Linked DNA regions of Callithrix jacchus. The protein of the gene in region 2 interacts with the protein of the main gene of each other region in a pairwise test. Links are inferred from orthologs where the notes say so. Each region holds a gene or a part of one and is shown on either strand. Other genes may lie near its edges.

Region 1 (2,935 bases), on a different chromosome or scaffold from region 2:
ATAATCCCCTAGCTGATGTTACTTTTCCTCCTGAAACCTGCAATGGGGCTGCCCAGGCCTTTGTCTCCAATTGTTCCATTTACTTGTAGGAAAATGAGACTTGGTTCTCATCATAGTTGTAGCAGTCATGATGTGCATGGCCTCAAGGAAGTTCCAGAGGATGTTTTAGGCTGCAGGGGACATTTAGAGGATGTTTCTTTCCAAGGAAAATGTTCATGTCATGACTTTTATTCCACTAACATAATTTGAACATACAGATGTACTTTTAAATAATGGGCCAGATGACCCCAGTTTATCTACTGGGATATACCTGTATTTGCTTAAAGAAGTGCAGTCTTCTATTAGGGCAGGCGTCCTTTCTACTGTGGAGATTTGCATTCTGAGATCCTGTGAGTCTGAGCCTGTCTGTTAGGAGCTGCCCCTGTCTACTATTAGGGTGGCCTCTTTAGCTTTGGCTCTACACCACGTGGCTGGAAGATTTTTTTTTACTTTGAAAGGGGGCAAAAATGATACAACTTTTCAGTGTACATTTTTGTATTGTTTTAATTATTTCAATTAGTATGTAGTGACTTTGAAATCTGAGAAACATCTACTGAAAATGGAAAATACTAGGAAAAATATTTAAAAAGAAGTATTTCTGCTTTATTGGGTACCTGTCGACATGGTAATGAACAACACAAATGCATCTCCATTCTTTATTTTGTATTATTATTTTTTCTTTGAGATGGAGTCTCGCCCTGTCACCCAGGCTGGAGTGCTGGGGCATGATCTCAGCTCGCTGCCACCTCTGTCTCCTGGGTTCAAGCAATTCTCCTGCCTCAGCCTTCCCAGTAGCTGGGACTACAGGCACACACCACCATGCCCTGCTATTCATTTCCATTCTTGTGGAGCGCAGCCTGGTGGAGTTTGATCTACATGCTTACAGATGGCTTATCTGCAAAATGTGTCTAAAAAGAAATTTTATAGGATAAATTTTTATACATGTTTGAAACTGGCACAAATGAATAAATGTAATGCAAGCTGTTATTAATACATCATCTCTGAATTAGGAGAGTAATTGCCATCATATCATTGTGATTACACAAAGCCTCTGTCATGTAACAGGGTCTCAGTAAATGTCAATTTCCATAGCATTTCGAGCCTGGATACTGAGACATGGGGCAAAGGGCAAGGACATGTCCCCGGTTTGGCTCTTGCATTTTCTGGTTTCCTCATTTATCTGTATTTTTTTTCTTTTCTTTTTGCCTTGTTATCTTTCTAACTTCAGGGAAGCCTCTCCCTTCTTCTCCTCCCCAGAATGACCTATCACCCTCCTTCAGGACCTAGTTGCAGGGCGTTTCTGTTTTAGGCTGACATTCGACTCCTTGCCTACATCTATAGCTTGGCACAAAGAGATTCACACACCCTCAAGAGCGTGGGTGAGACATACACAGCCTGTTAGAGCTGAAGGTGATGCTAACCTGGGAAATCATGACCTCATAGCAGAGCAGGATGTGAGAGGTTTTGGAAAGGAGGTGGCCTTGCAGGGCAGGAGGGATTTTTAAGGGGAGGTGGTGGATTGGGAGAAACACCCAGTGAAGAGGGAAACGAATATGTAAATTCTACCCTTTTCTCTACCCAGACAGATGGCTCTTCTTAAGGCCAATAAGGATCTCATTTCTGCAGGACTGAAGGAGTTCAATGTTCTGCTGAATCAGCAGGTGAGTCCAGGCTTTCCCTTTCAAAGGACTGGCCTGGAGACTGGGGGATGGAGGATGAGGGCAGAAAACAGAGGGTAATTGGAGCGGATGAAGTAATGGTGGAGTTGATGGAAACAGCAAGAGACGCGGGATACAACGCAGAGGAAAGAGGATGTGAGAGCTGGTGTTGCCAGACTCTTCTGAGTTTTCTGAATTCCATTGCTGACCACATTCTCCCTTGCCAATTACCTCTCCGCAACCCCCCAGGTCTTCAATGACCCTCTTATCTCTGAAGAAGACATGGTGATCGTGGTGGAGGACTGGATGAACTTCTACATCAACTATTACCGGCAGCAGGTGACCGGGGACCCCCAAGAGCGAGACAAGGCTCTGCAGGAGCTTCGGCAAGAGCTGAACACTCTGATCAACCCTTTCCTGGCCAAGTACAGGGACTTCTTGAAGTCTCGTGAGCTCCCGAGTCACCCACCGCCCTCCTCCTAGCCCAGGGACCCAGACCCTCCTCTCGGAGAAACTCTCAGACCTTCCTGTCCTCAGGCTATGCTCTTGCTCTACCCCGACACCTCAATAAAGAGCAGTGCTGGTTTTGTTGGACTTCCTGGCTTTTCTTCCATGGTCTGTCCTGACTTGCGGAGGCGGTCGGTCCCTTTCCTCCCGCCCTCCCTCTTAGATATGCTTTTGGAGGCTTAATGCCTTAGATTGGAGGTTAGCAGCCTTGAGTGACCACTGGGCATCGATTCTAAACTAAAACAGGCTGAACGAGGGCCAGGAAGGCGGGGACTAGAGAGGCGGTCGCCTGCGCGGGGAAGGGGGTGGCAGAAACAGGAAAGGGGGATAGAAGCCCCCCAGACATGGTCCGTGGACCTGCTTGTCAAGGAGGAAGCTGTTGGAAGTCTCCCGGTCTTGTTCATCCTGCGCCAGGTCCCCCGCCTCAGCTTTTCAATCCCCTGTTCGTAGCCCCAGTTCAAACAACATTCTGGGATCTTCGGACTCTGACTACCAAAGAATACTTCCTCGGAGCCCCGAGCATTGCAGGAAGTTAGAGCTGGAAGGGATCTTGGGAACCCTTCAGCGCGCCCCTTATGTTTCAGGCGGGTGAGCCCCTTCCCTTTGGGTCCAACATCCCTGGGCGCAGATACCAGGATTGGGAAGCAGAGGAGCCCGCCTTCCCCCTGCCCCAAATTTCTCCGGTCAATTCCCGGCCTAGGGGCCCTTTCTCCCAGACCTCTAGACTCGAA
Region 2 (3,815 bases):
TGTTCAAGCCAGATGTGGTCTGGGCTTTGGCCCTTACCCAGCCTGTTCTGAGGGGTCCATGAATGAGCCCCAGCTTGCTCTGGTGCAGAAGTATCCGGGCTCTGCCCTTTGCATTGCCAGGACAAGGTCACTCAATCCCACAGTGGGGAAAGCTCAGGCCACTCACCATGCCCCATGTGGGCAGCTGCTGGGACCACGAGGACACAGATGTGCACAAGTGGTAAGGGCCCCTCTTCCTGGAGCCTGCAGTCCCAGCCTGGCTGCCCCCAGATCTAAAGACTTCTAGAGAAACTGATTCCGTTTTTACTTCCAAAGGCTGGGGGCTCTTGCAAGAACAATGGTAACAGCTAACATATACTGAGCATTTCCCATGTGTCGGGTACTCTTCTCAGCACTCACCATGTGTTAACTCATATGACCTTGTGAGGAAGGCACTACTGTCAACACTCTCCACCATCGACCCCATGTTTCAGATGAGGAGCACGTGGCTCAGAGCAGGGCTAACAGAGGTCCCTGCCCGGCCAGGGTGCCAGGAGGGGACAGAGCCAGGACTCCAACTCTGGCTGTCTTGACTCAGAGCCCACAGGCTTAACCACTATGTGGCACAGCCCCTCTGCCACTGGGAATGTTGAAAGAGCAACCTGCCTACCAGTAGGATGAGGGAGGAGCCCCAGATCTGAGGCAGAAGGCTGGACAAGGTGACATCCAGTGACCACTGTTCAGAGCAGGGTTGCTAAGGACAGGAAAAAGTGAGAAAAGAAGGCCGGGCGTGGTGGCACATGCCTGTCATCCCAGCACTTTGGGAGGCTGAGGCGGGTGGATCACAAGGTCAGGAGTTCGAGACCAGCCTGGCCAATATGGTGAAACCCCGTCTCTACTAAAAATACAAAAATTAGCTTGGCATGGTAGTACGCACCTGTAATCCCAACTACTCGGGAGACTGAGGCAGGTGAATTGCTTGAACCTGGGAGGCTGAGGTTGCAGTGAGCTGAGATGGTGCCACTGTACTCCAGCCTGGGTGACAGAGTAAGACTCTGTCTCAAAGAGAAAAAAAAAGAAAAGAAAAGAAAAGAAATGCTAGTCCCTGCTTGAATTCTAGAAGTTGTAGGTCACTCCCAAAGGGTCTCTCCTGGGGGGAACCAGGGCGGCTGGGGCAGCGAGACCATCCCACCTCCAGAGGTGCCACTCACCCGTGATGGGCACATCGGGCCGAGGCTGCTCCTTCCTCCAGGATGGCACAAACACTGTGATGTCTGTGTGGCCCCGCTCCAGAAACCAGTTCACTGCCAGCAGGATGCCCCGGCAGGAAAAGACCTCCTTATTCCCATGGCTGGGAGGGAGAGGAGGACAGGGTTAGCCCACACCAATGGCCAGCCTGCTACCCCCTAGGCCTGAGCAGGAGGAGGGAGGCAGTCACCCCTAACCCTGCCCTGACTTTGGTGAGCAGTAGGGTAGTGGTGAGCAGTGGGGCTCAGGCCCTGGCCTCTGCAGGTGGGGCCCAAGGCCTCCATTCTCAGTGCCAGTTCCCACAGCTCCAGGATGGCGAGGCCCCGCTGGGACTTTCCCTGAGGCTCCTGAAAGTAAGGAAGTGCAGGGAAGCTGGCAGCACTGCTCCCCACGGTGGGGGAGGGCCAGGCCACTTGCAACACACCTGGGGGTGGGGGAAAGGTGCCGGCAGACTTCTGGTTCCTGCCCCACCCGAAGAGCTGCTGGGACCACAGGGACAGATGTACACATGCACACTGAGTCACCACCCCTCCCTCATCTCTTACAGCGAGGGTGGGGGCGGGGGAAGCACCGGGTGGGCTGACCGAGGAGAAACCAGATTGTTCCGGATTAACGTTCAGTCCTCAAACACACCTCAGGGGCTGGGGCCTGAGAAGGGCAAAGGGGAAGGGGCTGGTGACTCCAGCCTTCAGTGTGGCACAGAAAGCCCCGGAGTGGGGCAGGCTCCCCGGCAGCCTTTCAGCCTGAAAGTGAAAGGATACTGCTTTTCCTCCCAGGATGGCAATTCCCCCAAACGCCTCTTCTCTCCAAGGTAGAAAAACCATCAGGAAGATGCTAGGGGCCTCTTAGCAAGGACAGCTGAGTGAGGGGACATCGGCCCTGCCTTGGTCTCAGACCAAGCTGTGCCCCACCCACAGGTGGCTGCACGCAGGACAGAAGGACGTGTGGCGGGGCTCCTGGGCTGCTGCAGCTCTGTTTATCTGAAAATGGGCCCAGCAGTCCACAGTTTAAGAGGGGTCACTTGGCGAGATAGTTTTCAGGGTGGCTTCAGGCCAAAGATGGCCCTGCAAAGTGGGGGTTCCAACTGGATTTCCTGAGGGTGAGGGAACTAGGTGCCATGGAAGAGCTCCTGGGACCAGAGGCCCTGCCTCTCACAGTCCCCTCAGTTAACAGCTTAGACTCTCACATTTGGCAAGTAAAACAGAATAAATGTTACGCAAAAGAGGCAAGTCCAGGGCCGACCACATCCTGTGGGTGTTTTTAATGGTGGGAGGTAAGGGATGATAGCTGGAGCCCTAAGAGAAGGTAGGGAGGGAGGTGGGGCAGCTGGAGGCCATGGAGCAGCCTTAGGGGCAAGGCTGGGGCACCAGGTCTCTAAATTATAGGGAGACAGGCCCTGTGCTAAGTGCCTAGCACTGAATCATCAGCAAGCCTGTGAGAAGGGCACTACGGCATCCCCTTCTTTGTTTTTCAGATGAAAACTGTGGTCCAGAGAGGGTAGCTTAGTCACCAGGGTCACACAGCAGTCATGGTGGAACGGAGACGCAGGCCCAGGGCCTATGCTCATCACCACCAGGTATGGCAATGCTCAGGCAGGTGCAAAGGCAGGGGTACCCATGCTGGTCACAGGGAGCGAGCAGGGATTCGCAGACACCGAGCTCCCGCTGCCTTCATTCTGACAGGGCTTGCTACCGTGAAGGAAAGGAAGGCTATGGGACTGGTCCAAGGTCTGCTGGCTAGTAGTGGTAAGAGACGGTCAGAACTCCAACCCAGGTCTGGGCCACTCGGTTGCCTTCCTGTCTCTAACAGAAGACCCAGAATTATTTGGGAGAACAAAGCTCCCAAAATTGAGTTTGAACAAAGTGTGTTATCAGAGGTGGCGAATGGGAGAAACAATGCCACTGGCAAACTCCTGCTCCTCCTTCAGAACCCAAGTGAGATGTCACTGCCTCTGAGAAGCTTTCCCTGACTTCCCATGATGGGTCAGATCCCTGGTCTGTGTCTTCACAATGCCCAGTGCTTTCCCCATCACATTACCCCCTTCCCTGGGCCTTGTGCCCTGCCTCTCAAAACCATGGCAGCTAGGTCAGCCCATCCAAGGTATGCAGTGTGTGCCTGTATCCACCCACCCGCCTCCCTCCGGGCACATGATCCTAGGCTATATCTTGGAGCCTTGGGAACTAATGGGATGCCAGGGTTCCCAGGGCAGTTTAGTGCCTCTGGGCATTGAAAATCTTGGCTGAGGACAAGTCGGCTCTCAGAAGCCCTAGCACCTGAATATTCCCTCAGCAGATGGAAAAACTGCAATCAGTGGGCACTATCAGAGCCTTCTCTTGGTAGAGCACATGAGCCTGGAGTGCTCCCCTGCCGCTAGCTTTTGTCTCTTTCACTGCACTGAAGGAAGCTCTGCTGGCACAGAAAAACCAGACATCCCCACCCCCACCCCAGTCCTCTTTGCCCGGAAGGTCAGGGTCCCCCAGACTGGCTAAGCCGACGCTGGTAGGATGTGTGTGTGTAGAAGGCTCCAGCTAGGCTGCTCCTGCCCCAGGACAGAGGGCAAGGCTAGGCCAGCCTCCCCAGGTGAAAAG

What was found.
Region 1: the proteins of ZC3H12A (region 2) and AHSP interact in binary tests that used the Homo sapiens proteins (3 or more experiments, as listed by UniProt). The two-hybrid records come from large-scale screens. The link is inferred for Callithrix jacchus from reciprocal best matches to the Homo sapiens genes ZC3H12A and AHSP.

The regions. Positions count from the first base shown.
Region 1 is NC_133513.1:31,026,214-31,029,148, forward strand, and holds AHSP (alpha-hemoglobin-stabilizing protein), read left to right. Parts: upstream 1-1,398; 5' UTR 1,399-1,514; intron 1,515-1,621; 5' UTR 1,622-1,625; coding exon 1,626-1,700; intron 1,701-1,946; coding exon 1,947-2,180; 3' UTR 2,181-2,291; downstream 2,292-2,935. UniProt on the Homo sapiens protein: Acts as a chaperone to prevent the harmful aggregation of alpha-hemoglobin during normal erythroid cell development. Specifically protects free alpha-hemoglobin from precipitation.
Region 2 is NC_133508.1:74,031,875-74,035,689, reverse strand, and holds part of ZC3H12A (endoribonuclease ZC3H12A), read right to left. Parts: intron 1,331-3,815; coding exon 1,191-1,330; intron 1,035-1,190; coding exon of another isoform or gene 917-1,034; intron 1-916. UniProt on the Homo sapiens protein: Endoribonuclease involved in various biological functions such as cellular inflammatory response and immune homeostasis, glial differentiation of neuroprogenitor cells, cell death of cardiomyocytes, adipogenesis and angiogenesis.